Struthio camelus: one gene and its partners. The protein of the gene in region 3 interacts with the protein of the main gene of each other region in a pairwise test. Links are inferred from orthologs where the notes say so. Each region holds a gene or a part of one and is shown on either strand. Other genes may lie near its edges.

Region 1 (7,085 bases), on a different chromosome or scaffold from region 3:
ACAAAAACAACCCCTCCTGCTTCCAAATAAGAAAGCTGTCCTGGAAACTTTAATTCTAAATAGCAATCAATCATAACACATTTTAGATCCCCAAAAATGTATTTTAGATAAAAATATAACTTCCAGTGCGGTTACATAATTGTGAAATATATTTACGTATATTTCTAAATTAAGACAGTTTCAAATTGACCTGACAACCAAACTCTTAAATTCACATCTTCAATGTGTATTTATTTTATGTGTACGCACATAACTCTTCCTAAATAAACTGTAGTACTCCAGGGAATGGGGCCAAAGATGCACACACAAAGTTAAAGTCAAATTCAAAACACAGCGCTCGAAGCATGGGAATATTCCCTCACTACAACTTTCCATTTGAGTTACGTTTTCAAAGGCAGCAGACTTCCCATATACGTATTAATCAGGTTATACTCTTTCTTAATACTGCAAAAACTTGCTGAGAGAGTTTAATTTCAAGATTGCATTTTTCAAAATCACCTTGTCCCAATTCTAAATTAGGCCTTCGCTTCCAACTATCCAATGTTTTTACTGAATGAAAGTTCTACACCTAGTTTATACCTAAACCAAGTAAAGACATTTAAGCTGTAGAATAAAAATAGGGTTTCTGTGAATGCATCACTTACAATTCTTTTTACAAAAATATGCCAGAAATACACTCAAGTTCAAGATTTCTTACAGAAATTTCTACTCCAAGTTTTCCATGTTTCTCAGAACAACAGAAAACGAGTACTTGGAATTTATACGCACAGAAGTTGGTGACAAGATACTGGTTTTAAAGAATGAGAATTCAGTCTTAAATGTGGTGAGCAGAGCTTTTACATAGATTAGTTAAACATGCCAAACACCAACAGCAAAAAAAAAAAAAATTGAAGTAAGAACTATGAACACAGTACAAGGATGCCTATCACTGAGCAGTGTAACAGCTGTCATTACGAGCTGCTCACACATTGGCGTTATTTATCAAGCCATTCATAAGCCTACACTTACTCATAGCTATGCAAAGAAAAGATGTACTTCTCTGTATAGATCTAAAATACTGGAAAAAATTGAGATCTTTCTTCCACGGGTAGCAGTTTTATGATTATATTGCTATGCACTTGACAAAAGTGTTATTCGCTAGCATTACAGTAGTGGGCAACATTCCAGTCAAAACTATGATTAAAAAAAAAAAACACACACACAATACAACACACAGTTGACTATTTCTGTATTTCTATGACTGGAACTTCTTGATCTACCTGCCTTCTAAATTACATATAAATACATAGCTTGTAATATCTTACATCAATAAAATTACATAGCAAGCTTTCTACCAATCACAGCTTTCAATAAACACTTGTAGAAAACATGTAAAAAGGTTTCTTCTGTGGTTTGCAACCCAAAAAACATTCTACACTATCAAATAACACTTCAGCTTTACTACACAACTTCTATTTACTCAAACTTGGCACTGTGAAAAACAAAGCGAAAAGAATTACAGAACAGCCCATTTGGTTAGTAGACAACATTACGCTGACTGACATACTATCCTTAAGTTGTATACCATATGAACTAAGATATGCATTAGAATCTTATTAACCAAGCAATTTGCTTAGAAATTTGGTTTATGACTGCGACTTACAGTAGAACGAACCTTTATGCTTCTAAATGGAAATCTGGGAAACTGCATTTACAGTGATTCAAGCGCAATTTTCCAGTAAGTTCTAGATATGACTTTGCCTGTATTACCGTATACCTCCTGCAAATACATCATTTTGGCATTAAAAATACTGTACTGCAAACAAATAAAGAGTATCTGGAATGCTTTAAGCCACAAGACTACTTCAAGCATAAAATAAAGAAGACATTTTTACTAACATTGTTATTGAAGGTAAGAAGAGCTTTCCTAAGAAAGTAAAATACAGAAGGGAAGACAACAGTAATAACCAAATCCAACACACAACTCGAGTACACTCACATTTGCAGCATGACTTCGTTCAGAAACACGCCATCCACTAGCGCCACATATTCCTCCAGGTTGGTCCCATTTCCTCCAGCTAACGGTCCAAATGTCTTAACCTAAAATATAATCATCAACACTGTGACACAAATTCCATCCTCTTCTGTGCAGCAAGGCATTTATCCTCAAACAACAAGCAAATACAAGAATAACGTGTAAAGAAAAATTAATGCTTACCCAGGTGACAAGAGGGCTAGACATGAACTGCTCCAAAAGGGGTGTGAATATTTCGCTCTCCATTTTACAAAAAAAAGGTTAGCATCAATGTTGCTCCTCTGATGCAAAAAATATGAGAAGTCCTCCACTGTAGCAACTTGCTAAAACACTGAGAGGATTCAGCTGGAGTAAGCAAACCCCATTTTTACAAAGCAGTGCAACAGCAACAAAAAAGTCGGTGGCAAGTAGGCTCTATCTTCCTCTTTCCAAATAAAAAAAAAAAAAAAAGCATTTGAAAGTCCATCTACATGTATTTCGGCCTTTCCATTGATGTCTCTCCCTTCCTACATACTGAAGGGGTAGAAGGAAGAAAAGAGGGAGGCTGCCTAGCTACTAGGATTCTACATCAGACAAAAAGAAAGGAAGGAAAAATCTGCTTCAGCAGCGGTAGCTCCTCAGAAAGGAAGGAGAAAATCCAGTAAAACTCTGCAAGCTCATCCTGCCCCGTCCCCACCAAAAAAAAAAAAAAAAAAAAAAGACGAGGTTAAGCGAAGAAGAGGGGCATACACCCCCACCCCCACTCGGCGCTAAGCCCCTCAGGCTGCTTCTGCACACAAGAGAATGACCCCCCCCCCCCCAAATGGCACAGGCAGCCCCAGAGAGGACACCAGCCCCCAGCAGGGATCAGAGGCTATTTTTAATTAGTTCCCTTTTCTAACCCCTTCCCTTTTCCACTAAACTACGACGCAACATAGGGACAGGACCGGCACACGCCGCCTCTCCCCACAACCTCGCCCTTCCCCCCGGCTGGCCGCTCCCCCCGTCCCCGCCCGTCACAGCTTTCTCCTCGCCCGCCGGCCCCTCCGCCGGGCTCCCCGGCCGCCCCCCAGCCCCTCCCGCCTCGCTCCAGCGGCTCTCCCGCCCGCCGCGGCTCTGCAGCCACCCCCGAGCCTCAGGCTCCCGCGCCCCCCGGGCCACCACCTCCCCTTCCACCCCTCCTGCCAAATAACGGCCACCTCGCCTCAGCCAGCCGGCCCGACCGCGCCGCCTCAGCCGGCCCTCCTCCCCCCCCTCGCCCACGGGCGGCTCCACCGTATGGATCCCTCCGCCCCAGGCCGCCTCAAGAAAAAGGTTATCCCTCCGCCAGCTCGGGTCCCTTCCTCCCCCGCCCAACGGCCGCTGGTGGCTGGCGGCGGAATTAAAAAGGGCCGGGGGGGGGGGGGGAGGGGCGGGGCACCGTTGCAGCACCCGGCGCGCACGAGCGCGGCGCGCGCACTGCCGCTGCGGCGCTGGCGGCGCGCGAGCCCAACGGCCGCGCCGTGCCTCGCGGGGGGGGGGGGGGGGGCGGCGGGCGGCCCGGCACCCGCAGGGGCGGGGGTGGGGGGCCAGGAGAGAAAAAAAAAAACCTCTTTGGCTCCCGTTTGGGAAAGCGAGGGAAAGCTCGTCGGTGAAAGAAAGAAAGGAGGAGGGGGGTGGGGAGGGGGAGTTGCTAACGCCCGTGAAGAGGAAGATGGGGGATTCATCGCTCCCTAGGTCGAGAGCGGCGACCCGCAGCCCTCACCGTGCACTTCAGCGATGCGGGGGAGGGGGGCGCGGGGGGTCTTCCTAAGATGAAACCCAGACACACCCCCATTAACACAAAATCCAGCTTTCTGGAGGGATTTAGCAGGGAAAGGGGAGAGCGGGGGGGGGGGGGGCGACCTGGTTACAGAAAAGCAAACGATGACAAGCAATTTGCTTGCCTAAGCTATTGTCCTTAAGCCATCTCTTGCCACTTGTGCATTTCAAATCTCAAGTACTGCATTAACATACGGGATGGTATCTGCTTAATAGATTATGTAGTTTATTCACAAAGCATTTTACAAAAATCTCAAACTAAATCCATCTTCTCTTCCATGTAATATAAATTAAATTGCAGCAGCATTTTCCCAAATACCTTTACTTTTGCACACACACAAAAGGACAAAATGCAATAAAGTGACTGAAATTCAATGTTGGGGAAAAAAAAATCCAAGTAGAGTAGCATCTAAACAGATTAGTTTTTCTAACCCACATGTCTGGATGTGGTATTTATCCTAACTGTTGAAGATTAGGAAAAAAAAAAATCCGCATCAGTGACCTTTTCCCATATATATGAAACTGAAGAGAACGTTTAGGAGTAGCAAAATAAACTATGGACCTTGAAATATTACTATGCAATTTGTATTTTATGCATAAGAAGTTGCAGGAAAGTGGCTTTGTTTTGATTCTTGCAGTGAGATTTCTTTTTCAATAAAATCAGGTCTTCTTTTTCCCCCAAACTCGATCTTTGGAGTGAACTCGTGACTAGCCTTCCTGTGAAACAAGAGAAATAACAGAAAGCAAAGGGAAAACTACAGTCTTGGATCAAAATAGGAGTCTGGTGATACATGGGTGAAATAACTGCCAATAAACTACTAGCCCTTAAAGACAACTACAAAAGCATTTTTGTAAAAGCCTGAATAACCAGCCGCGAAGCTCCCTGTATCTGGCAACAGTATATAGTACACAATTGTGCATGCAATACTATGGAACTTCCCTGGCTCATCAGTTTTTCTTGCAGGCTCTAATTAGGCAACAGTGACTTGGGCATAAAACATTTTCTGAGAATTGAAGACTGGCCAGTAGGAGTTGATAGCCCAAATATTAGCTACATGCTAATAACAGCAGCTAGCTAATCAATTCCTGAAAAGTATTTTATGCTGAGTTGGTATATATATTTTTAGATTAAATTCTGATTAAGCAGTTCTAAATATTTTTAGTTTTAGGCAGGTTTTTATATAACCCATAATTCACTTTGCACACAGTCTCAGTATTGCTATTGCTCACCATTCCTGCAGTCAGACTACTACATTTTAGATAAATATTGCATCATGTCTTCTTTGTGAAACATACTGTAAACTGGCTTAGCCCAACAAATGATTGCTTATAAAAGGTGGAGATGAACACAAGAGGAAAATTGAAATTTCAGAAAAGGTGCCCAGAAACAGTCAGGTTTCATTTATGATTTTTTTTTTTTTGGGTAAGACTAGCAGCCCTAAAAAACTTGTGAAGAAGCTTTATCGTTTCTGTAACGTACACCTTGTCAAACTGTAAAAGAATTTACCTCATTTTCAGTGAGATAAACCCTCACGTCAGTTCAGAATGCATTGCTGATAGGGTAGCTATTTACCATGTTGTAATAGCTGCAAAAAATTGGACAAGCTAGGGGTTGTTCAGTTGGCTTTACCGTTCATCACATCAGTGCCTACATAAAGCTACTGGCAGCCTCTAGACACCAGTGCATTGCTGGTACCTACCCTAGCGAATCCCTGCTCTCCTGGCTCAGCTTGAGCTCAGCTGCAGAGCCGCGCGAGATGGTTATTTAAAATGTAGCCATGCTGACAGGGGTGAAACTGGGTGTCATAGGATGGGGAGATGTTTGGTTTTGATTTCTGAACCCTCTTTTGACAGAGCTTGCTTGAAATTAACTAAAAGGGAGAAAATTTGAGGTGTTTTTCTAATCCCACACTGAAAACAGAAGGCTTCCATTTTTAGCCTAGCTGTCAGGAGTTTTCAGGAGTATTAGTCTAGGAAATTTTTAGAAGTCATGGCTCCGCTTTAAGGGGCTAGGCAGCATCACTGTAATCTGCAACCTGTGGGTTGTTTGGATGCACTGGTTTTTCTTACTTTTTACCTGGAGAGACTCCACAAGACAAGCTTCATGGCCACCCTTATAGGAACAAATGCAGGAACTTTGGCGTAAAGATTCAGTATCAGCTGTAGAACGTGGCAACCTGAGTTAACTGGCTATTTAGGAAGCTCAATTCAAAGTCTTGTATATAAAGCCATAAATAGTATGGGTTTGTTACAGATTTGTTTTCTCCCTCATCATCACTCATCAAAAGTAACAGGAATGTAATTCTTTCGTCGTCAAGGGCCTACAGAATATTATTTCTTTTCACAATATTTTGTAAATACCTGTAGCGCTAGATGTTTTCCTCTTCAACGCATCTCATGATCATTCAGGGGAAGACTCTTGACTGGGCAGGTGAGTAGGAAGACAGTGTAAGCTACTGTTCTCCTGCAACACTATCTTAAATGAATAAAGCTTCTCAATATTAGAGTTCAGTTCTGCACATTCCGGTCACGTTTATAACATTTTCCAGGATCACATCAATTGTTTGCTCCTTTTAAAGCTAGTATCTCTTTCACTCCCAAGTCCTCATTCCTCAAAAGGATACAGCACTACGTGTTTTATAATTAAAATACAATTACTTCTTTACATAGACAGTAAAAATATTTAAGTATAATCTACAAATATTAATATAATTGCAGGTAATGTGAAAAAGCAGAAAGTAGTCCTGTCAGCCCCAGGAACAGTGAAGCCTGGTAGCAGGTGGTTGCTTTACGTCCCCAAATATGAGCTGGCTGAAATGCTCCCCCCACCCCAAGGTGGCGCATCCAGATCCTCATGTGTCTAATGAGGTATATATTCAGACTGGTACTGTGTCCTCAGTTAGTGGACCAGTGGGCCACCTAAATTGTAAGAATCCATCTTTGCTCCTCCTCTCCTACTCCCAGCACTCCCAAAGATCACTCACTCATAGTTTTCAATTTCTGTTGATTTCATTAGGACATGTGCAACTCTCCTAAATGGTATGATTCAGTTTGAAATTGTCTCCCTCTTCTCCTTGGAAAGTAAAATACTGTATTTTGGCTTTAGTAGAACTGATAAGATAGTTGGAAGCGTTCCTTCACTTTGAAGCAACAGGAGGTAGAAACATTAAGTTATCTGTAGTGAAGCTTTAAATAGTTCAATTATTCCAGGGATGCACATTCAGGAATCTTTTGGAACTGTATAAAAATTACACTTGTTATAATTTGTCTAAACGCAGAGAAGACAATCTTG
Region 2 (7,840 bases), on a different chromosome or scaffold from region 3:
TATTGCTTCCACTAGTTTTTTTGGGAGAACTGCTTTCTTGCTGAAATAAAATTCCTGTGTTATTCAAACTATTTATTTTTATTTTTTGTGCACACTGAACTTCATCACTGCTTCTGCTTACAGCCCTTTAGCTAACCTAAAGAAAACACAGGAAGAACAATGGCTACTGCTATTTCTGTAATGAAGTTTTTAAGTGTGCATTTATTTTGCCATTTTTTTCTCAGTAAAAAAAAAAAAGGTAAAAAAAATAGTAAATATAGGTTTGCTATTGTATAATTTACTTTTCAAGCAGTTGCATGTATTTCTTAGTGATGGTTGCCTTTTCTGTGTGCATAGAGGTCTGGAACACTGAAAACAGTGTTACAGAGATGTTTTTCAGTGGAACATCCAAAAAGGGCCCAAGAGATCTAAGCACCCAGTTTCTAAAAACCCTAGCTAGCCAGTGCTTCTTTCTTTTATCTCTGTGTTGCTCCCTCCCCTTCCCCAGTATTTTGGCTTAGATGGCTGCTAACTCTCAAGGCAACCTTTTCCACCCCCCTGTTCCTCCCATGATCTCCAAGGGAAAACCAGCAAATCCTTCTAAGCCCAGGGGAAAAAAATTAGAGCTTTGGCTGCATGCAGTGGAGTTCAAACTCTGCAAAAACACTTGTGAGACTGGCGAACCTCAAATCGCCAATCAAAGCACAAACATGTAATTCCTAACTCCAACTTTTGTTTAAAGTTGGACTACTTTCTGTTCTGCATCATATAGGAATAAATTCCCCAATTCAGTGTGTATTTGAGTGTTTCTGATGCTAATTTACATCAGTGTAAGTGAGGACTGGAATAGCTGTGTTGGGACTGTGACAATAATACCAATTGGGCTGAGGGAAACTTAAGGTATTGCTTAGATTATTTTCCGATAATAGGGTCCAGAGGCTGGAAATGGAGATCTCTTCCAGATGTCATCTTCCATGTTAAAGCAACTCGTGTGCCTGGAGGGAGCGGTCACAACAACAGCATGTATCTTTGCAAGGCAAGGCTCCAATGTCTCACCCTATTTTTTGCTGTGACATCAGAATGCTGAGGCTTTTGTCTTTGGATTGGACCACTAAAGGTATGATAGTAAAAGCTATGTGCAACACTTCTGAAGCAACTGTTGGTAGCAGTTATTAAATGCGTCTCTGCTAGTTCAGTGTCCTGCAGCTGGCTGCTCTCAAAGCTTGGCAAACTGAAAGATGGTTGGCTTCAGTAGATCACTCGGATGCCTGGCAGGCCTTCCGTGCTCCTGCTAACTTTCCCTACTTGCTTTTGTATCTGTCATCAATTCTGAGTATGAGAAGTATTGTGGTGTGGGGTTTTTTGTTTTGTTTTAATGTAGGATGGAGTATGGAAAAAGAAGAATTTTAGTCTTGGAAAATCCAGGTTAAATCTTGCTAATTGTCAAACAAAAACAACAATTGCATTGTCTCATTTTGTCTCAAGCAATTAAGAAGTCAATGAGTCTAATGAAAAAAATTAATTTTTTCTGTGTTTAAAATCTGCACCGTAATACTCTTTATTGGCTTTTATTCTAGATGTGGCATAACCTAAGCATGTTACCAGCACTGCCTTTTTATAGGGACTTCCTTTCAAAATGAGAACAGCCTTTTTAAAACGATCAGAATAGTTCTTGCCTTTAAACAGAGGAAATGCATGCAAACTAACAACCAGCATATTGCTTCAAATGCTCAGCCAGCCAGTCAGGAAAACGAAGATTCAAAGATATTGCTGAAATTAATCACTTAACTGAAAGATTAGACAGCAGTCTTTTTTGTATTCATATTTGTTTTAATATTCTGTTCTTTGAAACTTAATAGATTCTGAAGTGTCTCTAATTTTAGCCTAAATTTACAGAACAATCCCAACAGTATTTCACTACTCAGATGCTTCTTATTGTAATACGTAATTGAAGTCTGGGACTCTAAAAGGCAAAACATATTATTTCCATACAGCTTTCATGTCCAAACCATAATTTCATTGTTTTCATTTTGGGCCTTTTCTCTTCTTGCTCACACATGCGCTTTTCCTTAGCCCAGCAGGCAAGGTCTGGCAAACAGCTTCACAAAGCAATATGCCCAACAAACCTCCCTTAAAACCTGAAGCTGGATATGAAACCCTTATTTTGGGACAAAATGTATATATACAGCCAAACTTGCTCCAAACTCTTCAGGATCTGATAAAAGCATTTTCAACTTAATTTTCTTAACTTAGAAATGACTTAATTACATGCTGAATCGGGGCACTGCTCCTCAGACATCCTTCTCCCTTCCACGCTCAGAGGCCTGGTCGGTTAAACTCTGTCCCTCTGTAACAGCGCAGTCACTGTCCCACCTGCTCCACCTCTGTGGTCTGCAGATCCTGTTACTGTGCATCCCAAGAAAAGCTTTTATAATATAGCTGGTTAAACAAAAATATGTTTTAAAGCAAGGCAGAAACATAGAGAAATACACAGTCCGTTACTTACCCCACACTAAGCAAACTGTTGAGGCATTCTTGACAAGTTAATGTTTTATTTTCTTCTGTCACTTAAAGTTACCCTCTCTAATTAAAAAAAAGTGTCCTTTATCTTTGCTTTCCAAGCTGCTACACTTCTCACTTCAAGTGGGAAAAAAAAACGGAAAAAAACAAAAAAAAAAGTTTCTTGTTGGTTCATGTTACAACCTCCCAGTGTCAATCATGTAGGCTGAGACCAGGGAAGGGGTGTGGGGGGGGAAAGGCACATGCTGCCGCCTTTTAACTTGCCAGCCTGCTGTTCCTGTCCATCCTTAGCTAGCCCCAGAGCTGTAGACACTTACCTCTGTCCTGTAATGCTAGCCTCGAAGTGAAAGAACCGAAAATGAGTTCAGTCCTATTCCACAACCTCTGTGAAGCTTTGGCGGAGAAAAGGGTGAGCGCTAGATTATCAGGCACAAACATGCTCCAACTGCCATCTTCGTTCCAACCGCTTAATTTTGCTGCTTTTTTTTTTTCTTCTCTAAAACAGGAAATGTATAAGCCACAGTGCCTAACCCTGGTTCCTGTCTCTGCTCTGAGTTTGTAGCATAGGAGAAAATGCTGCTAGGTGCAAGGCAGTGCTGGGGCCTGGCTCAGTATGAGATTTGGGTTATGTTGTGATGCGAGAGGCTGCAATTTCACTGTTAGGGCCAGCAACTACCTTCTGGGCTATCTTTCTTTATCAGTCTCTGACACTCTGAGGTTGAGTGCTGGTGCAAGGAGTTGTTTGTGGCGCATCGTGACTGAATCTTTCCAAGCTGCTTTGAGTAAAGAATGCAGACTTAGGGAAGTACAGTAATGCTATTATTTTAAGGCTTCTTGTAGATTGGAAAAAGTGTATTTTAGCAGCTGAGGAAAGGTCACGAATGGCAGAAATTCATCAAGGTCTTTACAGAGAAGTGAAAGCTGTGTTAATGCAAATCATGTAGAGAGGTTGGTTTAACCAGCTGTGCACTGGTAAAGGTTGTTTGTATATTCATGTGGAAGAGGAGCAACAATAAAAGTATATTATAAAGTAATATGAGATTTCTTTTCTAAAGACCAACCTAGAATGGGTACATGACCAAAAAAATCCAATTCAAAGACCCTCTTGTATAGCTTTGTCTGTGAGGTTCATGCAGTTCAGCCTAAATCCCTATTTGGAATGAACTGAGGCCCCTTTCCCCTTTGCTTATTAACCATGTGGCTCCCCTTTATAATCCTGTTCCCCATGCCCCCAATCTAAATCTTTTTTGTTAATTTTTTAATATAGCTTTGACCAGGTCACTAAGGTATTAAATTTTTCAGTCAAGCTCCTATGAGTCTCCTTGTCTTTCCTGCAGAAACACTGGAGTATGGCTTGTGGGTTCAGCTCTCTTTCACGTTAATTGCCTTTTACTTAATCTCTTCTTCTGTGACAGGGATGTGATAAAATGAAGGGAAAATATACGGCAAAAGCATATACAAATATCAGAAGGCCCAGGATCCTAGTTTGTATACTTCTCAAAACATTTTAAGTTTTAATGACTTGCAGGTTTTCTAGTGAGGGAATAGTTTCTAGACGTTGAACTGCAGTAAGGCACAAAGCTTAACTTTATTCAGGCTGGAGTGGCCAGCTGCCAGCAGAGAAAATCCACTGATAGGGAAATTCTGCTGTCAGTACACTTTTCTGAATTGTTTATTGATCAGAAAAAGCTAGTTACAAGAATTTGTTACTAAAACAGACATTTGCATGCTGTGTCATAGATTTCTGATATGCCTTCTCTTAAATTGACAGCTTTGAGGAGGCCCTGTGTTCCCCGGCCATGTTGCTTTCAGAAAAGGTCCATGCGCAACATCATAGGGCGGGATTTTTTTTTTTTTAAACATCTGTATGAGTGGGGACACAACTGCTCAGATGTATCACTGTGAAGCCACTCTGGTGACATAGCAAACAGCACCCAGAATAGCTGGATTAATACCAAAATCGTGTGTCCTGCACAATGTTCCGCTGTGTTCCTGTGGCCTCATGCTGACATGCTTGCTGCCTTAGGAGGATCCACTGTGTCCTATAGCTACTTTTTTTTGATATTTTCCACTTTAAACTTGTTTCTTATGAGAGAATCAAGGAAGTCTGGAGCCCAGTCTCGAAGGAAGAGCAGACTCCTCATGGTTGAGTATGGATAGTATAGCTCTCGCTGGCGCAGTGCTCCGCTCTTGATGATCTCCAGCGCGCACTCCTCCTTTGGTGCGGCTGTCCCACGAATCGCATGGGGAATGGTTTTCATAGCACTTTCTAGAGAGAGGAGAGCAAGAAAAAGTGATGTCAGATGGAGGGAGGCTGCAACAGGTACTAGAGGCTCAAAGTTCAGAGGTATCCATGGCTTCATTTAACAAACTAATAGAAATGCTGGGGATCAGGTTTATTTCCTAAAGTTTAGAATATGTACAAAATTACAGTAATATCCTTCCCATGCCTTTCCAACTCTCAACTAATTCTAGAACCAAATCCCCATCTCCCCTGAGTTTATTACAAGGATAGTTGAGTCAAAGGTCTGGGACCGCTTTTTTTTTTTTTTTTTTTTTTTTTTTTTTTTTAAATGTTGAGCTCCTGTTTCCAAAATTGTGCCGCCACTTAAGGGCTGAGGTTTCAGCAGTGCTGGGGAAGTAGAATACTGGCAGATCTGGAGTGCTTTCTTCTGTCTAAAATGCCTTTTCTGACTTAGCAATGGGTGTGCACAGCTCCTAAATAGTGAGGCCTAGATAAATGTCAAACTTACCAGTATCAATGAGGCCCAGGACACAGAGTGTGATGGAAACATTGACATTGTCAGTGATGAATTCCTGTCGCAAGGAGCTGAAAAATCCATCTAAGGCAAACTTGGTTGCAGAATAGGGAGCAATAAATGGTATGCCAACTTTACCTGGGATGGGAGGCAGAACGTCAGTGTTCACATATTGCACCAGAGTACTGTCCTTGGAGTAGCTAAAATATTTAGATTTAGAGTGACTAAGTGATCTATTCTGAGTACTTGAGAGAAATAAATATATGAAAGGATGTTTAAAATGAGGAGGAGAGAAACAAAAGTTTTCCTAACTTAATTTTCCTGTAGCATGTGACATATAGTGACATGAAGTACATTCAGTTGTAGGTGATACTGTTCTTCCGTTCCTGCATTACGCATCCATGTGTAGCAAATGCATAATAAATGGCCATGCACATAAATAACATGCAGTGGCATACCATCAACTGTAATGCATAGTATTTTTCTTAGTTTGAAAGTTAGATTTAATGCTGAAGGTATGCTGCTGTGATAGGCCCATCAGTTTTGTGTAGTCCTTGGCCTTTATCAGAGAATGCTTTCAAGGCAGGTTTTGTTGCTTTGATGTTAAGAAAGAACCGACGTATAACATCTGTCTTCAGCATTTGCTATCGCTGCTTAGCAAGATGTGGGTTTTAGCAGCCCCTCCCTGAACTTCCTGTCTCTGGGCTTAGAGGTACAGCTCCAGCTGTGCACCCTTCATGGATGCCTGTGGAGCTGCAGGAAAGAGAGATGACTTGCATAGTTTTTAATCTTCTCATCCCAGGTTTTGGCAGGAAGTTCAGCTAACTGCAAACATAGGACCTCAGGAGTGTGTATCCCTCCTTCATGGAGAAGACAGTGGGTAGGTTGAGGAAGAATGGGGTGTAAACTATAAGTTTTCCAGATGACTTAACTTGCACACTGGGTGCACAATATATACAGATTCCAATCCCAGCCAGATAACTTCCTGCCTTATGGTCCTTATTCCCTCCTTTGAGGAAAAGCTGCAGATGGGATCCCTTGCAGGCAGTGGAAGAGGCTTAAAATCGGAGAAGAGCGTGGCACTGGCTGCCCTGGGACTCCCTAGCCTGTCTCGTGCTCACCTGCCATGGATGAAACGACAACAATGCTGCCATTGCTGCTCTTTAGCATTGGTAGGGCAGAAACAGTCATGGCCACGTAGCTGAGGAAGTTGGTCTCTAGGAGCTTTCGTATGTGTCCGACATCCCCATTGAAGTAATTGAGATAGCTGTGACCGACGTGGTTTAAGATAACCATGTCAAGGCCTCCTGGAAGCAGAACATGTTTGTTATGGGCAACTTGCATCCTCAAAACAAAAGCCTTTACTTGTTGGCTAGAACACCTTGAAACATAACTTGAGCAAGGGGGGTGTTGGAGGTTAATGAGGAAAAGGCAGATCCCACCACATACCCCAGGCTGTCTCAGCCTCTTTCACCACCTCCTTGGCAAATGCTGTTTTCTCCATGCTGCCACTCACATAGCGAGCAGATGCTGCACCCAGCTTGAGGCAACGCTCCACAACCTGTGACGGCAGTGAGAACAGTGTTAGACACAGGTACTCCTGTGTCAGCTCCCAGCATCCTGCAAATGCTGTAAGCTGTCTTTTGGGCCAGATAGGAAGAGCATGTCTTTCTGCCCATTGGTAACTGTTTTGACTTCATGGGAGGAGATGTATTGCTCATATAATTGTTTCTGGCTGCAATGAGTTAAACAGTGGCACATCTGAGCCAAATATTTAGTGTTTATAGAAGATACTGAAAAGGGATATGACTGCTTAGTTGATTCTGTTGCATACTGGGAACCAAAACAATTCAGACTTTGACAACCATAAGGGTTGATCAGACCAAGATCTGGGCAGCCTAGTATTGTCCTTGGTGGTGATCAGCGTCTAAAACTGCAGACTGTGGAGAAAAATGCTGTGCTGTCAGCATTGAAAATACAATCTAAAATGGTGTGAGGAGTTCCCCAGGTTCATGCTGGGGAAAATGGAACAGCGAATCTCTATGGTATCTGGCATCCTCATGTGCTCTGGATAGGGTGAACATCCATGCACTTTTTACCTGTGGGATTCTGGATTGTAAAACTTAGTCTACTTGATGTTATGGTGGCTGGGCACCTTGGGAGTGCTCTGTTTTGCATTTACTTTCTGCAACTTGGCCTCCGTCCGTGCTGTGATCAGGATATGGGACCTCATGCGTGCCAGGTGATAAGCCATCTGCTCTCCGATTCCACTGCTGGCGCCTGTGATGATGACCCGTTTCCCTCTGAGCATCTCTAGAGAGTAGGACACAGCATCAGACCCCTAGTGCAGGCCCATGCTGTGCCTGGCAGCCCCATGAGCCAGAGTGTTAGTTCTCCAAAGCCCTTGAGAGCAGAGTCTCCTCTCAGCCTATTTCACCTTTGTTCCCAGATAAAGGGATCAGGGAAGCTACACGCAGAAACACTGCACTACTGTAACATGCAGCTGCTCTCACAAACCCAGAGTGGAATTTGCTCCTTAATCCTTGTCTGAACTGGAGTGCACGAGAGATCTAAGCTCTGCG
Region 3 (8,060 bases):
CAAGAGCTGGGAAGGAAACTAAATCAACATGGCTCAAAACACATACCTTCACATTTGTAATTTGCAACAGCATGCAAGATCAAATCTTGGCATGTGTAAGTCAAAAGGAAAATGCCTGGTATTTGCCTCGACATATAAAACATGAATATAGAGCATAGCAAGGTCTAGGTCTGAAAGTAAGAGAGCATCTTTCCAAGGCAGGCGCAACATTACTAATTCAAAAACCAAACTATTCACCCACACCCGTCATATCATGTTCCACCATAATTATCTGGCACTATCAGGACAGAATGCCTGCACACAGTCACAACACGACTGACACATCAAATTTAAAAACAAACAAACAAAAACCTAAAAACTTCAACTTCACTCTTCTGCCCTAGTACAACTGCTTCCTATTATAGTCACAAATGCCTCCAAATAGAGCAATGACCTTGACAAGGCCACTTACCTCTATGGTGTCCAAGACTTCTTCTGCAACTTAGAATTTCCTTAAATGTCCAAGTAACTGTTTTACTGCAGTTTTGCACATTTAATCACCTCTTTGAGGAATAAATGCCACAGACCTAAGAGAGCACTATTTGCACTCATGACCAAGTTTCACAGGGAACAGAGAAACCCTGAGTCACTGAACACTCCCAATGCAAACCGATAGAGAACAACAAACCTGGGGTACGTGTGGGTGAGGACAGCTCTCCTCGTCACTAGTAGGAAGGAAGGGTATGTTTTAATGGGAAAAGACATAACCGAAAGCCTAACTCTAGTAATGTATTTTCTCTTGCGTCAACTTGTTCATCCTTTATGCCATGTCTGGCACAATTTGGGCCAAACTCACACTGGAAGGCATTGTCTGTTCAAGTTTGGTTATGCTTATACAAAATAAAACAGGCCTAGCTAAGCTTAGAGAGAATAATACCCCTCCCCCTCCCAAAAAAAGTAACCTTCACGAAATTCCTGGAAAAGTATTTACAGACAAATATTGCAGGCATTCGATCTACTAACTATTTTATGCAATCTCTGCAAAAGCAACTATTTAAATTGTGACTGTGAGAGAAAAGCCCATGACAGCAAAGTGAAAGCATACTTGTAACTAACTTCATCACAGGCGAGCATAAATTAGCATTTCCTCTGGCACACTGCGTAAGGGGTCTTCTCAAACCCTGTCCTGTGGGCCACCTGACGTGCATAGACCAGACCATGCCAGCTCTCACAACTTTCAACCACTTCCCTGAGCAGCAAGACCCTTCACCACAAAGAAGAGAACGGTGGCGAACCATACGCCCAGCTATCTGTCTTCTACCGGAGCTGGACAATGAAAAGACACCTCCTTATGGGACCAAGCCACCTACAAAATAGGCACAGGAAGTATAAAGAGAGCAGCAGTGATTCCTGTTTACAGCCAGGCAAACCACATAGCTTACTCTGCCGCATGCTTTACATACACGCACACAGAGGTAAGTCCTTCTGCACTCAGAAATTGCTCTGAGGATGGGGTGTAGTCAAAAGCAGACTGCTGCCATCAAAGCTGTCCTGGCTGCCCCCTTCCCCAGCAGCAGCACGGGGACAGCCAGGGAGCATAGTTCACTGCATTTAAGTGGACAGCCAGAAAAACAAGTGTCCCCTCATAACACATGTCACATGACAGAGAGATTGCCGCACGGTCCCAACGAAGATGAGATTTGGGAGTGAGTCACTTAGTCTGAAATTCGTTCTCCGCTTGTAGAACGGAGCACAGCCAGGAATAAGTCCCGAGCTGGACAAACTGCATGTATGTCGGGCAATTTTGCCTTAACGCATCGGAATTCTGCAGTCTCACTTGAACGCTTGCCCCAAAACTGCACCGCTGGGCTCTGAGACGATGCGTGCCCAGCTCGGCTGAATCGTTCTCAAAACGTTCTTCCTTCCCTGTTCAGACACTCGATAATCCGAACCAGGCTTGCCACTCTTGAGACACCTTTGCAGGCTCAGAGATAACTTTCAAGAGGTGTAACAAGAGGAAGCAAAACGCGATAGCGTAGTCAGAAAAAGCGTTTCCTTTCAACGAGTGCAAAGAGGGCGGCCAGCCATGAATTATGAACTGCCTGCGCGGAATTAAGTAGCGGGCAGCTTCCAGTGAACTGACAGGCACGGATTAAGAGTTTTATAACACAACTACCTTCCGGGAAAGAACCTACTAGTAGAAAAGATATTTCAAACCAAACGTCGTCCCAGCCATTTTCCCCTCCACGCTAAAGCAAAACTGCCTTTTAAACAAGTTCCCTCCCCCAAAGGCCACTGCTCGCGGGCAGCCAAAGTTCACGCCACGCAAACCGCGGCCTCTCTCCCGCTGAGGAAACACCTCGACGCCCGGGAGGCGGCGGCGGCCACCCCGCCGCGGGGGAGGCACGCGCGCGCAGACAGAAATAGCCCCGCGGGGGCCCCGCCGCCGCCCCGGCCCGGCCCGGCCCGGCGGAGGCGGCCGGAATCCCAGCGCGGTTTCCTCGGCCACCGCCGGGCGCGGGCGGCGCCCCCCACCCCCCCATCGCCTCAGACGGCGGCGGCGGCGCCCCGGGGAGGGGGAGCGCGGGGGGCGGGGGGGGGGGAACGGCTCGCGCAGGGCGGCGGCCGCGCGGGCAGGGCCGGGCCGCCGAGCGACTGGCACGCGCTGTCGCCAATGGGAGGCGGCGGGGGCTCCGCCGCCGGCCAATGGCGGGGAGGGAGGGGCGGGACCTGCCCCGTTGTCAATTTGCAGCCAATCGGCGGAGGGGTGCGGGGCAGCGGCCCCCGGGACCCCGCTGCCCTGCTCGGTACGGCCCGGCCCGGCCCGCCCGCCCGCCGGCCCCCTCCCGCCGCCGCCGCCGTGAGGCGCCGCGGCCCCTCTGATCCCCGCGCCGCCCCCGGCGCGCCGGCACGGCACGGCACGGCACGGCACGGCGCGCTGCCGAGCCGCCGCCCCACGCCGCCGCCGCCGCGGCCTCACTCACCCGGGCGCATCCCCTGTCACAGCCGCAGCATCCCCGCCGGCTCCCAAACCTGCCTCATCCGGGCACCGCGGGGGGCGGGGCCGCCGCTGTGACGCGACAGAGGGAACGGGGCCCCGCCCCTCAGAGCGGGGCGTGGGGAGGGGCTAAGGCAGGCCGCGCCCGCGGGAGGGCGGGGCCGGCGCTGGCACCCACGTGGGGCGGTGCCGGGACGCCTGGGCCCCTGCGCGGTGCCAGGCCGGGGGGAGGGGAGGCTCTGGGCGCGGGGCCTGGCAGGGCTCGTCCCCCCCCCCCCGGGCTGCCCGCGGGCCGTGGCCCCTCCGTGGCCCCCCCAGAGGCCCGGGCTGCCCCGTCGGGTGGGTTTGCGGGGGCCGGAGCCCGTCCCGGGGCTCCGCGGCAGCGCGGCCTCGCTGCGCGGGGCGACGTTTGCCACCCGAGTGGGATGGAGGCGGATGTGGGGCCCACGGGGACGCGTCCGCGCTGCCGGGAAGGGCTGAGAGCCGGTGGCCGCCGTGGGGTTTTGCGGCGGGCTTCCTCAGGGAAACCGCGGCGAGGCGGCAGGGGTCGGCGGAGCTGCTCGGCGGGGCTGGCCAGCCCCCGGGCCGAGAGCCCTCGGCCCTTGCCGCCGCGCGGGCCCGCGGGCCTGCGTCGCTCGAGCGCTCGCTTTACCTGAGCGGCCGACTTCGCTGCGACGTCTCGCAGCTTTTTTCTTTGTTTGACTTAATTTTATCTTTAGCTTATTTTGATGATGTAGCTGAGAGAGAGAGAGAGAGAAAGAGGCCTTAGCAGAAGAAAAAGCACCAGGGATGACTCCAGCGCACCCGTAAGGCCGGACTCAAGGCCCCGCTCCGTCGCCCTGCTGCTGGAGCACCGAGGTCCAGCCGCTTTTCCCCCCCTCCCCCAGCCCTGCTGTTACTTCTGCTGCTATCAGACAGACGAGCAGGTGATGCCTGCGGGGTTTTTTTGCAGAAAGGAAGCTGGTAGCGGGTAAGACAGGAGAGGGAGGCCCTAGGGGGAAGACCGAGTTGTTGTCGGGCTGCAGAGGGCGATGGCGTGGGGTCCGCGCGGGGTACGGCCTCCCCTCGGGCCTGACGCCTCTCCGGACTTGCGGCTGCGCGGTGAAGGTGCAGGAGGAAGAACCGCTGCCTGCGTTTCTGCTGCTTGGGGTGGACGGAGCTGAACGGCTTTGCCGCGAGCTGGCGGCTCAGCCACGCTACGAAAGCACAAGCGGAGGACGGGAAGCGGTGCTGGAGACGGGCTGCAAAGCTGAAGTCCTTTGCTTACGCCTCTCTGATCCGGCGACAGCCCCGCAGTCAGGTGTGCGAGCAGGCGAGGGCCGGCGGCGCGCCGAAGCGCTGGGATCCCAGCGGGCGTGGGGCTGAATTGCAGCGTGGGTTGCAGTCCCTTGCGACCGTGCCCTGCGGCACGGGCTTGGGCTGGGGGTGCGCGGGTGACGGCGAGCCGGATGTGCTCTAAGGAGATGCCTTTTTCAGTGGAAACCACCGGCCTGTCCAAATGAGAAGCACGTTCTTCCCAACAAAACTTTCACTGGGGAAGTATCTCGGTGCCGGCGCGCAGTGGCTGCTCAGGATGAGGGACGAAGCGACTCCGTGGACCAGGATAATCACTGTTTCCAGAGGGAGGGGGACATCCCGGACAGGCCTAAACCCATGTCCAAATCGAGCTCTACGTGAGCACGTTCATGATGGAGCTGTTCCAGGGCCGCTTCTTGGGAGGGAGGTTCTGGGTGTGTTCTGATCTCTTGATTCTTGAGACTCAAAGTATCAACTTTGGCAAGAAAGCCGTTTTCGACCCATCCAGCTGGCTCTCCATAGCTCCGAAGCTGCTGCGTTCCCGTTCTCCCTGGCTACATCTGCGCTAGTAAATTAAACAGGCCCAGGCCTGCTCTCTGGGAGGACCCCTGGCAGCGTGGTGTGTGTCCACCCAGCTCAACTCGCTGCCTCCCTAGCAGGGGGATTTGCCTATGTGTCTTATGGACATCTGTATCCCCGAGACCGTGCTGTCCCCCAAACTTTGCCAGCATCAGGGATAGTGATGGAGGCACAGGCTGCAGGCATGCTGACAGTTACCTAGTGTGAGATGAGTCTGTTGGGACTCAGCTCGTGCCCAGGCCCCGGAGGTCCTAATTTTGTTAAGGCCCCCCTGCAGATTCAAAAGCTGGCTTCTGCCCTGGGTGGGCTCTGGGATGCATTTGGGCACAGAAAATCAGCCATAGCATCCCCACCGCAGCTCCTCCAGTGTTCCGGGCAGAGATCGAGCCCTGCCAGCGTGTGGAGGAAGGCTTGAAGTCAGCCTGGCCGCTGCCCTAACAAAGTCAGCACTGATTTCATCACGGTCCTGGACCGTACGGAGGCACGTGTGGAATTTTCTATATTTAGACTGAGAAATTGCCATCGGTCAGAGCGGAGAAGCACTGCCTTTCCCTGCAGCCATGCTTCCTGCGCTCAGCAAGAGAAGGACACGGAGAGGTCAGAGCCAACACCGGCCTCCGACCCATCACAGCGGAGCAAACGGGCCCTGTTTCACCTCACCAGAGCCTCCTCTCATGTTCTCCATCCCTGCTGAGCTCTCCCCAAAATGCCCGTTCACTTCGCTCCCCATCCCAAGGGGCTGGGTCACAAGCGTGTTGGTCCTCGTTTGGATTGAGAGCCCCAGCCAGTTGCTGATGGGGTCCTTGTGCCCTGCGCTGGGAGCCTTGGTCCCCAGGGAGGATCTTGGGGGGATCCCATCTCCTCCTTGGAAATGCAGAAGGTCCTTCAGCATCGGTAGGGGGTCCTGGACCCCCATCAGTATTGGTGCATGGGAACTGGACCGTGACTCCCTGAGGTGCCAAATTGCTCCCCTTGACAATTCCCATTCCCACCTCTTCCTGCTGGCCTTCCCTGGGGATGGGACAACATGCCGCGCGTCCCACCCTTCTCCCTTCCTCCCATTGTGCTGTTTCCTATCTCTGATGCCTTGTTTGGGATCGGTTACCATGATATCTCCCAAGTCTATGTCCTCAGATCCCCTCGGTGAGGCAGGCAATAGGGCACTGAGACCGTGGCCAACGCACTAAGCGACTTGGGCACCGAATGCCCATGGATGTGTATGAATTGGGCACCTAAGTTCCTTTAAAGGGTACACCTGAGGGGCAGGAACACCGCATACCCAGACGAGTGGTAGAGAAGGGATTGGACTCTGTTACCACAGGGTTGCTCCAGCCACTGGGCCATCCTTCCTTTTCACCCATAGCCTTGCAGTCGCTACGTTATCCTCGCGGCGTTGCTGTGTTTCTGTCCTGTAAGAGCCCCTAGAGCGGGGAAAGTCACTGTATAGGGAGGCTTTTTTAACTGTTTAAGTAACCTGCTGGCCCCAAGCCAAGTTTGGGGCAGCTGTCAGCCTCTGAGATGGACTATCACTGCTCATCCCGTCCTCCGTATTTCCTGGTGGCTCCTTCTCCAGCAGTACCTGCCAAATGTGTTCCACGGTGTTTGCAACACGTGCCCCACGGTGTTTGCAAAATGTGCCCCGTGGTGCCTGCCAAATATCCCCCATGGTGCCCGCCAAATTTGCCCCACGGTACCCACCAAACATGCCCCATGGTGCCTGCCGAACAGCCCTCTGGAGGCCACAGCTTCAAGGGCACGGGCGGAAAGAGGGCAGGGTGCCCTCCGCGGTGGCTCCTGCACAGGAGCTGCCTGGCAGCTGGACTCCCAGCTCCTTTGCATGAACCTGATACTTAGGTTTCCTTTGCATATTAAATTTGCTTCCCCCTGTAATTAGCCAGACGGCCTGTCATTAGCCATGGACGGTGCTTTCGAAAGGCCCCACGTGCCACCCTCGCTGAGGGCCATGCCTGCATGCTGCCGGCAGCGTGGGGAAGCTGCGTTTGAACCTGTGGCCATGCCGCACTGCCAGCTGTGTGACAGCCCGCGTCCTCTGCGGGCACTACGCCTCTGAGACCATCCTCTGTATAGTGTTTCCTGATAACCTTTTCTCTGCCCGTGTCCCACTAGCCATAAGCTATGGGTTGTCCAGGGCTGATGGTCCCATACTCTTCTCCAGGGAAAAAAAATCCACTTTTTACCATGGAGGATGGGGATGGGCGTTTTTATACGCGCCGAGGACAGAGTGCAAGTACAGCTGCCTCCCAGGTCCCGCGGTTCAGTGAGCACCATGAATCACCCGTGACTCCTGTACAGGACTTTTTGGGTCACCTTGTGTGCTCCGGCTATTGCACAAGCTCAGGAACGCTGCTCAGCAACTTCTGCACTGAGCCCAGGATATGCGGTAGGACCAGAGCGTGGCTCGGAGCCTCGCGCTGCCCCTGAATGAAAGAGTGGAGGTGAAGCCACAGCATCCCGGGGGAAGCTGTCCCGGTGGTTAATTCCAGGCAGGATCTCTGCTTGGACTCACACCTCTGGGAAACCCCCAGGCCGGGGGCTAAGCGCATGGTTTGGGGCTGTGGCTGGGGAAATCCGCTTGTCTCCTTTGCCCTGCTTTAGCCTTGGTTTGCAACCCCCCGCCAAGGTCCTTGGCCCCGGTGGAGGGGTTGACCAGGGGGCTGAGCAGTGGCGGGAGGCCTGGCTGGAAGAACGATCCTCTTTCCCGGCTTTCCAGGCACCGTGTTGCTCTGATCGAGGGGTAGCTACAGCCGGCTGGGTGCTGTACACGTGCACAGTCCAGCTCTGAAGCAATTCTGAAGCAATCCAGCCTTTCTCGCTGCCTTGTAAAAGCTGTAAGGGAAATGACTCATGCTGTCTGCGTCGCGTTGTGCCTTGTCCGCGTGCATCCCGCGCACTCTTGGCACAGCGCTTTCCGTCACTTGTCTGATTACAAAACGGCCCTGCGAGGTAGAAAGGAGGCAGAATATGATTGTCCGCTAGGAAATCACTGCAAAGTTGCCGGCACCGAATAACCACCTATTGCAGCAGTGCCTGAGTATTATTCCCACAACGGTGTACGGAGAGCAGGGTTGAGCTCTCTCAGGGGAGACGAGGTAATGAGAGGGGTCCCGGCACATCTGTTGGCACATCTGGAAGCTGTCTGCGGTTCTGCTCTCGGCTCTGGGCTGTGTGCTTGCCTCTGGGCACGCTG
Region 4 (8,048 bases), on a different chromosome or scaffold from region 3:
CCTGAGGCCACACGGACAGAGTCATCAAGAGGAGACCCTGCACTCTGGTTTTCCATATGTTATAAACTGCCATTTACAGCAGCCACACATTCCCATGGCACTATCCAGCTGTGGGACTGAATTATTTAGCTGTCTCAGAGCAGCATAAGACTCTCTAAACAGCAGGGAAGCACCTTCAAGGCAGGATATTCCATTAATGAAAGAGGGACAGGAGCTGCGTGATGCCCACAGGGGAGTTCACTCCCATTTCAACATTAAACAAAAGTTACCCTGCTCTAGACGTCTGCAGATGACACCCTCCGCAACCATTTTTGGCCCAGGGACTCTGAAAGGGAAGGGAAATGCACAGCCCTGAACTTGCAATTTACAGGTCCCCCTTTAGCAATCTGTGATTATGTTAATCATGGAGAAAGCACCAATCTGACAGGTTATCTGTGAAGCAGAACAGGCATTAGCTGCATAAGGGACAATGACGCTGCATTCTCCATCCTTGCTCAAGAGATAACGAGGCTGCCTGGATGGCCTTCAGCCAGCAGGACGCAGAGAGGGAGGATGCAAAGAAACAAAAGAAACTTCTCTGTAGCCTCTCAGCTGGGTAGAGTAACTTTCCAGGCATGGATTATAGACAGACCAAAGGTGCAAGACAGACACATAACCAACATCCCTAAAGCAAGAGAACTAGACCTAGCCTCCAGGTCCCAAGCATGTCCAGGGTTGCACCTGAGCTTAGCACCTATACCCCTATAAGCTTGCTAGCTACTTATTTATTTGTGTGAACTAAACTTCTATGCATAGATTTGGAAAGTATGTCCTTATATTGCAAGGTACCTAGTCACAAAAACAGCCACCTGGCCACAAAAGATGCTCTACCAAAAGCACAACAGACATTGAGTTAGCAAGGCAATTCTTGCAATTTGCTACTTGTGTAAAATTGTGTCCGACTCTCTCGAATTTGTTTTCACACTCAAACGTTATGCTTAGTAGCCACCCCCAGCCTTCTAACACCAGAATCCTGTGTTGGGATCGGACACCTCGGGACACTATATCACATCTGGGGACTTACGTAAGCAAATAACCACATAACGTAAAAAGCTGGATAGAGGGGGGAGTATGACTGCTGGATCAAAACAGAACACAAGGAGTTGCAGGGTTTCTAGTTCATTCCCAGCTCTGTCAGTGATGTGATGTGGGTCCTTTGGCAAGTCACTTAACCTCTTTGTGCCTTAGGTTTTACACCTGCAAAATTGATTTTAATTTGCCTTTAGTTATAAAGCGCGTGATGTGGCCCAGTGCAGAGATCCCAAGTAAGAGACATAAGGGTGAATCTCAGGTTTTACCGTGGCAGCTGGGCAGCCTCTGGGTAAAACCAGACAGACGGGGTGGGACTAGCATTGAATGTAAAATTGCTCTTTGTTCCCACTATTAATATAACGGTTACTGTTAGCTTACGCCAGAGAAGAAATTAATGCCCTCGAAAACAGGAATTGTAAATCTCTACAACTTGAACTAAAGCGATACCTTTGCTAGCTAAAAACGAGACTGAGGTTCTCTGAAGAGAAGGGGATGGAATATTTACACAGTTGAGCAGAGCGTTAAAGGGAGACCTGTGGCTGGCATGACGCTGTGAGGTTCAAGTTTCATACCTCTTTTGTTTTGCCTTTGATGACTGGTGCTGCTACGTTCGGAAGGGATGTGCGTTTGCTGTAAAGAATGGAGCACGGGGGCTCCACAGTCAGATGGTGTCAGGGCCTTGCACAGACGAGGAACCACTAAACACAACCAAAACAGGATATGCGCTCCAGGAAAGAGTAAAACACACCAAAAGACCATCCCCTCCACCAGGTGAGAAAGGAAACAGCAGCCACTATTTGCTTCCAGCGCAAGCCCCCACAATTTTCCTTCCTTCTCAGCTTACAGGCACGAAATGGTGCTCCAGCGTGGTTTGCGTGATGAACTCCAGGCAGGCAGTGGCTGCCCTGGCATTTTGTACCAAGTCCACAAAGAGAGAGTCCAAATCAACTAACTTCTTGTGCACCCTAAAGAGGGAAGCAAACAACAACCTGCTCTCTCCTTGCAGTCTCAGCATTCCCATCTCTGGAAAATTTCTTGGCAGTTCTCATTCCTCGTTTTATGATTTACCTGGCTCCCTGACAGCAGAATAAGCAAATAAAGAACACTTGAAAAACGTTATTTTCCTGACCAAGCTGAATTTCACTCCCCAGAAGTCCAACCTACTGAACAGGATGGAATAACAACCCAGACAGGCTGCTCTGTGTCAGCCTTTCCCAAGAACCGTGTGTGTCCACACAGCAGATTTGTATACAGACTTTCCAACAGCTCTCAGGCACAGAGATCTCCTAGACTCAAGACTTGAGGCGTCAGCGCTACAAAATAATCCATTCCCCATAACCTTACAGCAGCTTATAGTATTTCTGATACAAGAATAAAAAGGTCTGCAAAGAGTATAAAAAATCTGAGCTAAAAACATCAGCTGTAAAACAGTCACAAACTCCTCAAAAGAACTGCTGTTTTGCAGACCCCTGGCTGAGCTGCCCGGTATGCTCTTCTGTTACTAAGCATCTCTCCCTCTCAGCAATCATGCTCATTTCCTCCTTTTCTGTTTCTCAGAACGCTAGGAGACATACCAGTTCCTGAGAGAAGCTGCACAAAAGAAGGCTGCCTAGCCCTGGAAAGGTCTGCATGAGGCTTGGGACATGCATTTACCTCCGTGAAGCCCTCCTGCAGGATATCCAGTAAATTCCCCCTGGCCAAACAGGCGAGCATTCTCCACGAGCCCACCGAAGGGCGAGGGTCTCAGCGGACGCAAGGCAGCTCCTCTGGCTCAGGGCACGACCTCTTCCTCCCAAAGACAAAGAGTTGGAGCTGGAGCTCATCAGGAACCGTATTCATAGTCCCATATGCGCAGCCCGTTGCTGCACGCAGGATAGTTGAGCCAAAGTCAGGGCTTGCACTGGGCATGCTCGTGAGGGAGCTGCTGGGGGAGTAGCAAGCTAGATGTCACACGGTTCCTATAGAAACGCTTCAGCTTACAAGATGCAGGCCCAGGACTGAGTTGGGGAAACATCTGAAACCTATTTCCAGCGATCGTTCTCACGCGGAACCTGCTGCGTGCAAGAGATTTTCAAACCCACCAAACACAGCGAGCTCTGTGCGGCGCGGGGGCAGGGAGAGAGCAGGAAGGAGAACGGCAAATAGCAGATGTCTTGCTTCATTAGAAAAGTTAGAGGGAAGACTAGAACAGCCTCCAGCTTTAACTCTCAGCCAAGGGTCAGCAGCCCTGAAGAAAGAGCAGCGTTTTCAGCAACCTCTGGAGAGGCAGGAAACTGCAACCAGGCTACAGCATAGCTAGTAACATTTACACAGTATCAGGCTTTACTCTAGCTGCCATGTAAATAAGTTGAGGAATTAAAAAAAAAAATAAAAGAAAACTTTCCAAATAGAATTAAATACGATTGCCAGCAAGGTTTCTAAAGCAATAATAATTGCCTTCATTCCAGAAAATAGCTACCAAATATCTCCAGACAATCCCTCAAACTTCACCTCATCTTAGAGGAAATGCCCAGGGGAAAAAAAAAAAACCATGAAAAACCTCCAAGAATGGCCAAAGCCACCTTCTGCCAGAGGCTCTGGCTGCTAATCCACACAGCAACAGTACAAGTACTGTCCAGTGACATTCAGGCTGTGCCTTCAGATTTCATAATATTTGGTTTTGATCAAGCATTTCTAAGTGAGAAGACACATTTGAAAACAAACATGTTTTTCAGCCTAAGTATTGGAAGGATCTGGAGGAAAAAGCAATGGCAGAATTTTATCATGCTAATATTCTCTCCACCACATCTGGAGAGATGCTGCTAAAATTCAGAAAGACAAGCAAAAGGTCATTCATACTATTACCAACCCAATCCATTCCAAAAGGAGCCAGCCACCTCCCCCCCCAAAAATACGAGTTTTAAATTACTTATTCATGTTTGTCTTCCTTATGTACTTTTAATAATTCAGTGTGGACTAGGATTTTTATGTTATCATTGATTGTAGCATCACAGCTGTTAAGCAAAATAATAAATATTGTGAGGCTTTGCATAAAATTCCTGAGAGATGGCACTGCTGATGGTTCGCACCATGATCCAGCCTGCCTTTGAGACTCAAAATGGCTAATTAGATGGCAATAAATAGTTATCCACAATTTGTACAATGCAATCAAGTAGACTGTGCTTTTGCAATTTCAAGCAAATTTCATATATAATCTGAATAAATGGCTTCCCCATCAGATAGAAAGTGATCTCATTGGAGCCTTTTCTATGGACTTTACAATGGTATCTTGACTAATGTTCTCAAAGAAAGGTCATATTTACTATCTGTTTTTCAGTGCTACATAGTAAATATACATTCATAGTAGATCTGTAATATTAACAGGTGAGAATGCTAAGGTCAACCCTTCCCTATACTGCTTGAATTTATGGAATAAAGAAAAATAAACTCAGGATGTACTGAAGTAAAATCAAATTCACTCTGTACGGAGAGGTGGCAGATGGCAGTTAGATGTCCTCTATTTTTAGAATTTATTTTATGAATTTGATGGCAGATTAAATATTATATGCTTATAATCCTCACGGGCTCCAGATATTGGTACTTCTCCTTTGAAGAGGAGAGAAACCATAGGCAGGCAGTCCCTAGCCACAGATTTTACACTGGAGACAGGACACAAATTCACAGGATTTAAAAAATAAATAAAAATAAGAATAAAGAGATAATCTGTTCAAACAGCACAGAAACACGAAGCACACGCAGGATTTAATTTGTAAAGGGTATTGTTTAAATCACGATAAGCTGATACACTGAGAAAAACAGTTCATTTATCACGATCCTCAGCGGCATTCAGTAGGTGTCCTGTTGCATTAGCAATGGGCAACAACGAAGCACTTACTATTAGTGCTCGCACTCCATCATGTAAGGAGTGCAAAGCATTTGGGCAACAGCAGGATACAGGGACTGCCATTAAGTCGCTGCTTGCTGTGCAACCTATATTTGACCATAGAAGCTTTATGTGAGGTTTTGACAGGTATCTCTAGGTTGTCAGGGATGCAGATTGGCTGTGTTCAGAAGTCAGACACTGCTATTTGATCACCTAAACTCAAAACAATTCCAAGCTCCCAGTACAAGCTCTCTGTGGCACCAGCCCCAATCAGAGCCTCAGTGAAAAGGCAATCAATTGGTGCCAATTTCCTGGTACGAATGAGAGGACCTAAAGCCAGATATGTCACCCATAATACAGTAGTTCGATCCCTGAGAAATGCAGAAAGACTCGCTCAGCTGAACACAGTAGTGGAGCTGTGAAGAAGCTGCTTTGGATTGGAGAGACTATTCAGATTAGAAGCCCTCCACCGCCTGCCTTTTTGGATCACCAAGAAAAGCTGGGAGTGAAACACGAAATTCAGGTGCTTCCTCTCAGTCCTGCATCCTTATTGTGGACCTTCTACCTACTAGAACACCAACACAGCAAAGGGCAAGGTGTTCTCATTAGTGCCAGGTTCAGGTGCAGGCCTGCTCACAGTGTTATTTTCCATCAGAGATTTTGTCATCAAAGATTTGCTTCTACATGGGGCTTCTTATCTCTGAAACAGAATTGCCTCATTTTGACAATATGAATGTCAGAGACTAGAAACTAGGCCATTTCTGCTGGCTCGACTGAGAGGCAAAGCATGCTGGGCCCTTCTTTTGTTTGTAACAGTAACACAAACGCAGCTGGGAGAGTGCTGAAATACCTTTTTTAAATTATAATCCATCTCTCTCCTCTGTGTTTCACTCTCATTTTTGTAGCAGGAACCATGTTTTTCTTTCAGTTTTATAGCATCATACAAGAGGCCTTTGAACACTAACTTTGCAAGAAGCAAACAAAAGGGCTTCTCAATAAAAACTAATGCTTCACAATTCTCCCTTTCAAGATTGACTGTTAAAATTCCCTGAAGGTAAATCCAAAAGGAAGGGGACTGGGCAGTGATGTCTAAAGGGCCTTGGCGTCTACTGTTCTGCGTGTGAGTGATCTTCAAAACAAACGCATAGGATGTCAGTTTGGTTGGTGGCATTGCCCTCTCCTGGCCAATTTCAGCATAACCCTTGTACTTTCCTACTGTCAAAGCATGGGCAAGGTATGTTGCTGTTACTTCTCCATTTCACGTTTTCATAGTGTGACTGTCGTGGTGTCACAGCAGCACCACCCAGCACAAACACCTAAGCCTTCCTTAAAGCCTCCCATCCAAGGACTCTAAAACACTTTATCAACATTCACTAACTGTTCCTCTCCACAGCTCTTAGGAAAGAGAGGGGGATCCATGGCTACACTTTGGATCTCACTGATAAGAATTTGGGTGGGGAAATAAGGCCAAATGAGTTGGATTCTGAACCAAAGTATGCGAGGCCACAACTGCAGGAATAGCAGAAAGAGCTCCCTAATGCAACCAATGCCTTCATGTCACTGAGCCTCTTCCCCCTGCCAGCATCCAAAAGAAAGGACAGGCCCAGTAAGGACTCCAGAAAACTTACAGAAGATGCAGCAGGCTGTGACGTGCGACAGTGAACTACATCCACCAGAGTTCCCATGGTGGTTGCCACGACTTAAGTCAATGCTAAGGGGAATGAATGTACCAGTGCTCTGTCTTCCTTGAAACCTGAGGAGGAGAAGCAAATGTATTAAACACAAAGGGAAGAAACTTCTTAGGGAGAAGAAGCCGGGGCGGGGGGGGGAACTTACTAAGGCAACTCCTTAATTTAACCAGAACAAAGGAGGAAAGTTGCCATCTTCTTTCATTGCCTTCAGAAAATATATTTAAGGGCTACAGTCCTAGGACTTCGGGAAAGTTACACATTTCTGTGCCCTATTTCACATGTGAACTATGTACAGCAGACAGAATTCCCTTGAAACATATGTAACATAAGGGTTCCTGGTCACATTGGCTCATACTGCACAAAGGATCTAATTATTTCTTTACGTGTGTAAAGGGGGAATCCAAATTCAGCAAAAGCTAAAGAAGCTAGGCAGTAGGAAGTTTGTTTGCAGGAGCCAACTTCTACTGTTCCCTACTGTCAAATAACCAGGCTATTACTCAATTCAGTATTAAAGGACCCAAGATCCATAAATAATATTAGGAAACAATTCCACATACTGACTTATCTGTATTTAAGAATTTTTAATAATCTACATTTTCATTTGCATAGTCTTCTTTTAGAAGTCTGAAGTAAAGTCTGGTGAAAGGAAAAGCGGGGGAGTTCGGAAGAGCTAATAGAATGCAAAATAGTAGGAGTACTTTAGATAGACTCATCAGAGTAGGAAAAAAAAGGATAGCTAGAATCATTGTTTTTAAAGAACACTTAGAGGTGAGCAAGAACGTAACCCTGCGGTGGCTGGTTACTATTCTCTTTGGTGTGCCATACCAGCCCAGTACTGCTGGGCTCAGAGCCCAGGGAAGGGGGCCGGGATCCGGCAATGGGGTGGTTCAGGGCACAGGGAAGGGGAAAGGGGCCAGGATCCCCCACAACAGGGCAGCCCGGGGTGCAGGGAAGGGGGCCTGGATCCCCCACAGCAGGGCAGCCCGGGGGGGCAGGGAAGGGGGCCGGGATCCCCCACAGCAGGGCAGCCCGGGGGGGCAGGGAAAGGGGCCGGGATCCCCCACAGCAGGGCAGCCCAGGGTGCAGGGAAGGGGGCCAGGATCCCCCACAGAGGGGAAGGGGGCCGGGATCCCCCACAGCAGGGCAGCCCGGGGGGGCAGGGAAGGGGGCCGGGATCCCCCACAGCAGGGCAGCCCGAGGTGCAGGGAAGGGGGCCAGGATCCCCCACAGAGGGGAAGGGGGCTGGGATCCCCCACAGCAGGGAAGGGGGCCGGGATCCCCCACAGCAGGGCAGCCCGGGGGGGCAGGGAAGGGGGCCTGGATCCCCCACAGCAGGGCAGCCCGAGGTGCAGGGAAGGGGGCCAGGATCCCCCACAGAGGGGAAGGGGGCTGGGATCCCCCACAGCAGGGAAGGGGGCCGGGAT

What was found.
Region 1: the proteins of NDEL1 (region 3) and CCDC88A interact in a two-hybrid assay, tested with the Homo sapiens proteins (2 studies listed by BioGRID and IntAct). The link is inferred for Struthio camelus from reciprocal best matches to the Homo sapiens genes NDEL1 and CCDC88A.
Region 2: the proteins of NDEL1 (region 3) and TRAF3IP3 interact in binary tests that used the Homo sapiens proteins (3 or more experiments, as listed by UniProt). The two-hybrid records come from large-scale screens. The link is inferred for Struthio camelus from reciprocal best matches to the Homo sapiens genes NDEL1 and TRAF3IP3.
Region 4: the proteins of NDEL1 (region 3) and DIXDC1 interact in binary tests that used the Homo sapiens proteins (3 or more experiments, as listed by UniProt). The link is inferred for Struthio camelus from reciprocal best matches to the Homo sapiens genes NDEL1 and DIXDC1.

Annotation. Positions count from the first base shown.
Region 1 is NC_090944.1:118,737,745-118,744,829, reverse strand, and holds the start of CCDC88A (girdin), read right to left. Parts: upstream 3,274-7,085; 5' UTR 3,193-3,273; intron 2,676-3,192; 5' UTR 2,261-2,675; coding exon 2,198-2,260; intron 2,080-2,197; coding exon 1,979-2,079; intron 1-1,978. UniProt on the Homo sapiens protein: Bifunctional modulator of guanine nucleotide-binding proteins (G proteins). Acts as a non-receptor guanine nucleotide exchange factor which binds to and activates guanine nucleotide-binding protein G(i) alpha subunits.
Region 2 is NC_090965.1:8,846,112-8,853,951, reverse strand, and holds the start of TRAF3IP3 (TRAF3-interacting JNK-activating modulator), read right to left. Parts: upstream 3,158-7,840; 5' UTR 2,817-3,157; intron 2,623-2,816; exon of another isoform or gene 2,486-2,622; intron 2,386-2,485; 5' UTR 2,248-2,385; intron 1-2,247. Other genes in the region: 11-beta-hydroxysteroid dehydrogenase 1, read right to left, coding at 4,548-4,768, 5,253-5,396, 6,380-6,565, 6,708-6,819, 7,414-7,571. UniProt on the Homo sapiens protein: Adapter protein that plays essential roles in both innate and adaptive immunity. Plays a crucial role in the regulation of thymocyte development.
Region 3 is NC_090960.1:13,233,673-13,241,732, forward strand, and holds the start of NDEL1 (nuclear distribution protein nudE-like 1), read right to left. Parts: upstream 3,016-8,060; 5' UTR 2,964-3,015; intron 2,497-2,963; exon of another isoform or gene 452-2,496; intron 1-451. UniProt on the Homo sapiens protein: Required for organization of the cellular microtubule array and microtubule anchoring at the centrosome. May regulate microtubule organization at least in part by targeting the microtubule severing protein KATNA1 to the centrosome.
Region 4 is NC_090963.1:2,702,402-2,710,449, forward strand, and holds the start of DIXDC1 (dixin), read right to left. Parts: upstream 3,160-8,048; 5' UTR 2,785-3,159; coding exon 2,725-2,784; intron 1-2,724. UniProt on the Homo sapiens protein: Positive effector of the Wnt signaling pathway; activates WNT3A signaling via DVL2. Regulates JNK activation by AXIN1 and DVL2.